Linked DNA regions of Tamandua tetradactyla. The protein of the gene in region 1 interacts with the protein of each later gene in a pairwise test. Links are inferred from orthologs where the notes say so. Each region holds a gene or a part of one and is shown on either strand. Other genes may lie near its edges.

Evidence for each region.
Region 2: the proteins of TRIM38 (region 1) and RFC5 interact in binary tests that used the Homo sapiens proteins (3 or more experiments, as listed by UniProt). The link is inferred for Tamandua tetradactyla from reciprocal best matches to the Homo sapiens genes TRIM38 and RFC5.

What each region holds. Positions count from the first base shown.
Region 1 is NC_135351.1:29,230,262-29,234,009, forward strand, and holds the start of TRIM38 (E3 ubiquitin-protein ligase TRIM38), read left to right. Parts: upstream 1-1,027; 5' UTR 1,028-1,348; intron 1,349-2,599; 5' UTR 2,600-2,745; coding exon 2,746-3,150; intron 3,151-3,748. UniProt on the Homo sapiens protein: E3 ubiquitin-protein and E3 SUMO-protein ligase that acts as a regulator of innate immunity. Acts as a negative regulator of type I interferon IFN-beta production by catalyzing 'Lys-48'-linked polyubiquitination of AZI2/NAP1, leading to its degradation.
Region 2 is NC_135331.1:18,316,393-18,320,140, forward strand, and holds the start of RFC5 (replication factor C subunit 5), read left to right. Parts: upstream 1-1,275; 5' UTR 1,276-1,418; coding exon 1,419-1,480; intron 1,481-2,401; exon of another isoform or gene 2,402-3,058; intron 3,059-3,130; exon of another isoform or gene 3,131-3,233; intron 3,234-3,748. UniProt on the Homo sapiens protein: Subunit of the replication factor C (RFC) complex which acts during elongation of primed DNA templates by DNA polymerases delta and epsilon, and is necessary for ATP-dependent loading of proliferating cell nuclear antigen (PCNA) onto primed DNA.

The DNA.
Region 1 (3,748 bases):
ATAAGACAGTGTACCTCCCTGGCAGAGCAGACAGTTAGTGAAGATAGACCATGGACAAATAAGCTATAGCAGCAGGTAGATGAGTGCTGAGTAGCAAGGTAGGGTGCTGCCAGCAGGAGGTCAGGGAAGGCCTCTCTAATGAGGTACATGATGGCATTTAAACAGACATCTAAGTGAAGTGGGGGAGCCAGATGGGTAAATATTTGGTATTTAAGGGTTGGAGGGGAAGAGGAATGAAGCATTCCAGGAAGACAGGATGGCAAGTGCAGAAGTTCTGAAGGAAAAATTTAATTAGTGAGTTCCAGGAACAAAAAGGAGGCCAGGGGCTGGAGCAGAATGAGCGAGGAAGAGGAGGGAGGCTGGAGTCTGACAGGCGGTGTGGACAACCTTGTATAAGCCTCCAAGGCCTCAGTTAAGCTTCTTTCTAGGTCCTAGAATGCCCAGTTTAAATGAGAAGAATTCTAATTGCTCAGGAGTGCAGTTTTTCTCCTGCAATGATCTGAGAAGCTTGTCAACAACTAAGTTTCAGGAAAAACAAGCAGGGACTGTGTGAGGGTATCCCAAAATAGACTCTTGTTTCTCAGGGGAAGCTCTTTCCTACCTGATCCCCTAGAAAGCAGTTCATCCATAGACTGGGCACTAGCCGCTTGGATTCATCTCATCTAAATTCAGGGCACTAATGAGGACATTGAAACAGTTCCTCTGAGAAGCTGCTGATTCACATGCTCCAAACTGAATAGCTCAGCTCCACCTCAGAGGATGAGCTTCACTTTAGCCTGCATTCTGCAGCAGTCCATGCAAAGATAATCAGAGAGCTGATGGCATCACTTCTGGGCTCCTTTCTGCCTGCTCATACTGGCGAGTCTGCCTGCCAGGGGATGTTGGACCCCTCCTTGAGATTATTATGGGAAGAGTTTTGAGAAGTGATTTCAAAATTAGTGTTTTAGCTGTCCTCTGCACTTCGGCTTCACCAGTCCCTCCCGGCTCAGTCCCCCAGATCTTATGGCCCCGCCTCCTGCAGTTGTTTATTTCCTGAGTTTCATTGGTTGAAGGAACTTCCTCAACCTCAGGCCTCAGGAAGTGGCAGTTAGGAGGGGACTAGCGGCAAATATGTGATTGCTATATGGGATGGTTTAGGAAAAGGTCCCGGCCCAGGTCGTCTCAGTGGGGGGACACATAGTACATGTATGTATGAGTATGTGTGTGTATGTGTAGGCGGGGTGGGTATTTTCCTGGAAAGAGAACGTCTCCAACTCTGAAATTCGTCGGGACTCGGCTTTATATCTCTTAGCCCTGGTCTGCTTTCTCTTTCGCCTGACTCCACACCCAAAGAGTGCCAAGATGCCAGGTGAGTGACGGGCACCCCAGGGCCTCAGGAGGTGGGGAGACTTTTCTCGCAGGAAGAGATGGGCCTCCTGTGTCCCTTGGCGGACCTAATGTGCCATCCCACAGAAGCCTCCAGATGAAACTGCATGCAGCTTCCAGACACCAGTCTTGATTATCACCGGGAAAACATCTATCTGGTAACTTTAGTCGAATTCCTGTTTGTAATTCCGGGCACTGTTAGTTCAAAGGAAAGATCACGCTCTAAGTTTCCTTCTCCCTGCTCCCAACCAAATTCCCGGAATTCCCGGGGTGAGAGGGAGGCAACAGGGCTGGGTTCCGGAAGCAGCTGCAGCATGGGAGAGGGGACCGATTTATTTGCTTCTGGTCACTCCTCTGCCAACTCTGAGTACCAGGACCTCACTGGTGGACAGTTGGGGGGCCAGCACCTGGCACCCCCACAGAGATCTGCCCACCCCCACTCACTTCCCACCTCCCCTCCCCCATCCTGCCAGTGGATTTGCCCACGGATTCTGCAAAATCCCTGTGTCCCAATCACCATGGACTTCTAGCAGATGAGTCCTGGCCTGGAAAAATGACAGTCACCTCCCTATTTCTGTTGGAGCTCTGCTTACCAGGAAGAACTGCTCCCTCCCCCATCCTTCTCTCTGTGCCGGGAGGGGAAAAAGAAAAAGGACAAACAAGTTCTTCCGGTTCTTCTGGTTGCCTTGGTTACTTTCATACCACTGGTTGGGTCTCCACTGAGACTTTTTTAATCTGATGTGTTTTGTTCTACCTGAGATGGAGGTGGGATAGAGAGAACTGGGGTTGGGAAGTAGACTTTGATTGTCTCAATAAAATCCTTAATAGTCCAAGGATTACCTGAACGTTGCTGCCAGTTACAAAGAGATAATTCTAATAATAATTACTCTTGATGTGCATTAGAATATTAGAGTTTTACACTTCCTCACCGAATTGTCTTTCTTGGGGCAAGTTCTGTGAGGAGGCCTACCTTGCTTCTCTCTCTCTCTCTCTGGCACTTTGGCTATGAAAAGTTTTTGCAGTGATGGACTGTTCTATATCTGCACTGCTGTGTAGCCACCAGCCACTTGTGGCTATTAAGCATCAGAAATGTGAACAACAGGACTGAGAAACTGAATTTTTAATTTTATTGAATTTAAATTTAAATAGCAACACATGATAGTGGTTACCATATTAGACATGACAGCTGGATGTTTAGGCATCTTCTAAATTCCAATCCATTTATTCCTTCTAGACAGACAACTTCAAGACCTCTGATGGCCAACGCATCACACGGAGGCTCAGGTGAGATTTATTTCAATCACTGCAGAAAATTCTGGCTGCTTCATCTTGGCCTGTAGGTCCAGTATTGGAGCTTTCCAAAAAAAAAAAAAAAAAGCCATGGCCTCAGGCATACCCTCCAAGAAGATGAGGGAGGAGGCCATCTGCTCCATCTGCCTGAACCTGATGGATGAACCCATGAGCATCAGCTGTGGTCACAGCTACTGCCACTTGTGCATTATGGGCTTCATTGAGAGTATAAGCCTCACACAGCCAGAGAAATCTACCTGTCCCCAGTGTCGGGTCCCATTTCAAGTGGACAGCCTCCGGCCCAACAAACAGCTGGGAGGCCTCATTGAAGTCATCAAGGAGCTGGAGCGTAAAAAGATATGTGAGGAACATGGAGAACAGCTCCAGGTATTCTGTGAAGATGAGGGCCAGCTCATCTGCTGGCGCTGTGAGCGGGCACCACAGCACAAAGGGCATACCACAGCTCTTATAGAAGACGTATGTCAGGGCTACAAGGTGAGTGGGCATGGGGGGTGGGGCGGAGGGCCTTGCTGCGTGCCTGGTCTCCACTGCCCCCAAGACCTGGGATTGTCTAGTCTGAAACTCAGTATTCCTGAAATATACCTTTCATCATGCCTTCTACAAATAATCGGTCATGGGTTCTTTCTAAAGCAAATCCAGACTGTCTATCCTGACTTTTAGTGGGATGGTCAGACCTCTGCCCCTTCCCCCTCTGATTATGACAGACTTCTCTCTGCCTTAGAACCTGGCGTGTTCAAGTCTACAGCTGCATGCTTTACTGCTTTGCACCATGTGTATAATTTGAAAAACCACGATGAGATGTTCATGCTATAGAATATCAAAATACAGGGGAGAAAGACATGCAATCTTTTAGGTATCCTATAGTTTAGTAGGAAAGGCAGTCCAGCAAAAAAGACTATGTGGAACCTACTGTTATGAGTGATGGGTGGAGGGGAAGGATGGCCAAGCAGTAGGGAGTGATATCAGGGAAGCCTTCCCCAAAATGACTCTTGAAGAACACATAGAAATGATCCACAAGGAGACATGCAGTAAAGAGAGAGCATTCCAGGCAGAAGGGATCCCACGTGTAAAG
Region 2 (3,748 bases), on another chromosome or scaffold:
AGGCCTCTCAGCAGCTGGCCAGTTGTAACATTGTCATGCCATCCAATCCTTTAGATTTGGGAGGGAGGGGTCTTTGAAACAAGAGCAGGATGAGCGGAAAGTGTGTTAGAAAGGAAGGAGACTGAGATGGCACTGTGTGGGCTATGCCGGCTGCTTTAGGTGTTATTTCATCTAATCCTCAGAACCACCTTGGAGAAGGCATTCTTGGAGAGAAGCAACCTGGCCAAGACTAAGCGGAAAAGATGGCATGCAAACGATCCCAGCTGCCCTTGTTAAAGTTGCCTTTGAGAGGAAGCAGGGGATCGGGGCACTGTCATACCACAAGCTACATCTGAAGCTACTTCTGGGTCCCCAGGTAAGAGCCAGGATAAAGGTATACCTGCTACCTTATATTTGCCCACTGCCCCTCTATCCTGTTCTAAAGCAGGTGGCAGTGATGTAATCAGGTGCAAAGAATGCAGTTAAGTCTCCATCAGAACTCTACTGACACCAGGACCAGCCTCATCTCCTCCCAGTAAATCCTGCCTTTCTGCACATATTGTTAAAAAAGAACAAAACAACTTTATTACAGATGTAATACATGCTCGCTGCTGGGAAATGCAAGCCAACAAAAAAAAAAAAAGAAAGAAAAAGAAAAAAATGATTCATTATCCCCTCAGGTTAAAGAAAAAGCACCAACATTTTGATATCGATTTTCTTCAGTATCTTCAGATCACTAGGGCCCTGTCTCGTTTTCACCCTGGGGTTGTTTTCTGGAAGTTCATCCTCTGTAAATTCTGTTGGGGGTGAGACAAGGCTTCGGGAGACAGGCAGTTTGGAGTTGTGTTTGTTTGGGGTTGATTTTCAACTTCAAGTTGAACCTCCCAACCATGGGAGCAAAAGGTACTGGGAGCCTTTTTATAGATGGGCATCTGTATTCAAGAACTGGCCGCATCACTTGAGTTGTTTTTTCCTCCGGAATTTTTAGCCCCGGCAGCTTTCGGTTCTTTGAACAGTAAGTGTTTGAACCTTGATGATGTGTCAGAGGATGGCTCAATTGGCCTTGACCGTGAGACCCTTACTTGAAATGATAATGACTGGCGGCTTCAGGGGACGGCCTCGCCTCTCCCGCTCCTTCTGTCTGGGTTCAGAAGCTGCTTGCCATGGAGAGAGCACAGCGCGGGCTCCAAGGGCGGAGCTGGAGGGAGGCAGGCGGCCTGCGCCCCCTGGTAACCAGGCAACCCGCTCCTTAGCAACGGAAGGGGCGGGACCGAAGGAGGAAGTCGGAAGCCGGAAAGCAAGTCTCGCGAGAGTTGCTTTTGCGCGCGAACTCTTAAGTGCTGGGGTCCCAGGGTCTGATTGCGCAGGGGAGCTGTGCAATCGTTTGGGGGTGATCGACGACCGCCGCGGACCGTGTCACTGCACCACCCCACTCCACCATGGAGACCTCAGCGTTCAAGCAGCAGCAGCCTGCGGCGAACAAGAGCAGAAACCTACCTTGGTAGGAGGAGGCCTGCGGTCGCAGTGGGAGATAAATCAGTGGCACCGGGAGGGGATGGTGGGGGTAGAAAGTGGCAGGGCCCGGGCCCACCTCACCCCTCCTGCGCACCTGCGGCCGGGGCGGAACTCACACAGGTTTGCCTTGACATCCCCCAATTCTCCAATCCCTCTCCATTCTGTTCAGGACCTTAAAATTTTGCCAGGTCTCCCCTCACCCTCAGTTTCCTTGCCGAAGAGGAACGCTGTTTTTGCACCTGGTGACAGCACAGGGACTCGATCCCACGTCTTCTGACTCCCTTCATTGGTTTCCATGCCCAGTTACCCTCATCTCTTTCGACAGCCAAAATCTTCAAAACCGTTATTGGTCAAATCCTAAGCTAAGCTAAACAATAAAGTACCAACGCCTTTTAGTTACCATTTATAAAACGGCTGCGACACACAGCCAATTCGAGGTTTGGCGTGCGTTAAATCTTGTGATCCTTACAACCTCTTAGGACGTAGGTACTGTTATTATTCCCATATTACAGATGAAGCAACTACCTTAAAAAGGTTAAATGACTTCCCTGAGGTCCTAAAGGCAGAAAATAGGCTTGGATTTGAACCCAAGCGGTCTGAATTCAGAGCCTGCATTCTTAACCATCCTACTTCCACATCCATATGCTTAGTGATGCTTTGGTTGTATTTGGCCAGATTTTGGAAACTCCAAATTGTTTTGGTATAATGACTGCATTTCCCTTTCCATCCTACGCAATCCCCCAAATAAAGCACTGTTTTTATTTATAGAGTCCTGATCACTTCAGGGGTAGGAGTGGAGAGGTTCCTTTTTCAATACAGAGGCCTCCCTAATATTGGTTTGTTTTTACCAAACGCATAGGCAAGTGGCTTCATGGATTCAGAAAACAAATTACAGTACTTAGTTTCTTTAGTCCCACTCTGCTAGAGCGGCAAGGTGAGCATCAGTTTTTGCTTCTGGAAGAATCCTGAATTTGGGATTTTCAACTGTAACAACTCCAACTTCTATTTCTGAGGGTTTGGAATCAATTGATAGAACAGGAGACCGGTGTGTAATTGCAGTTTCAACTGTCTGTTCAAATGTCCAATCAGATTTCTTCTTTACTTTTTTTTTTTTCAAGGAAGCTGGTTGACTTGGTTTGTTTAATTCCTGCTGCAGTGGCTTTAAACCACAGTAGTAACCTGCAGGATCACAGGTGCACACCTAAGGGCCTGGCTCTTCCTCTATACCAATTAAAATCATGCAACATCCAAGAGGCCTCATTTCAGCGTTCTCTGTAGACCTGAGCAATATCTCCAGTTCATTTACACAACATGTCCACAGGAATCTCATAGCTATACTTGCGTTTCTATACCTCATAGCAGCCTCCCTCCCTGGGATCTAATGTCAGCTGTCATTCTTGTTATCATACAGCCAATGTTTTGGGTTATCTTGAATAAGTGAGTCACCGTGCTGAAATCCAATAATTTGTCAGATACTTTGTTCTTTGTGACAAGTACTGCACAGTCTTTCCCTCTGACATGTATGATGTAAGGCCACCTTGGTTAATAGCCTTAAAAGCATATTCTGGGGTACACAGGTGGTTCGGTGGTAGAATGCTCGCTTTCCATGCTGGAAATCCGGGTTCAGTTACCGGACCATGCGCCTGAAAAAAAAAAGCATATTCTGCTTGGTGGAGGCGGCCCTCAGGTGAAAAAACAATAATGTGGCAGTCAAAACTTGTGCTGGAACCATGGGACATGTTGGTGTGCCCACTGCTTCAAACATAGCTTCTGGGCCCCGAGCTCTCACACAAGGCTACCTAAAGAGTGCATTTTTTTAAAATTGTGGTAAAAAAAAACCGCATAATGTAAAATTTACCATTGTAACTATCTTAAAAGTATGCAATTCAGTGGCATTAAGCACATTCACCACTATCTAGTTCCTGAGTTTTTTCATCATTCCAAATGAAAACCCCAAACTGTTAATCAGTCATTCTCATCCTCCTTCCCCTCAGTCCCTGGCAACTACTGATCTGCTTTCTGTCTGTATGGATTTGCCTATTTTGGAGATTTCGTGTAAATGGAATCAGACAATGTGTGGTCTTTTGTATCTGGCTTCTTTCACTTAGCATTGATGATTTCAGGGTTTATCCATGTTGTAGCTTCCATTGTACTTCATTCCTTTTTATAGCTGAATAATATTCCCAAGTCTGGAGACACCACCTTTTGTTTATCCATTCATCTGTTGATGGAATTGGGGTAGGAGTTCAATTTT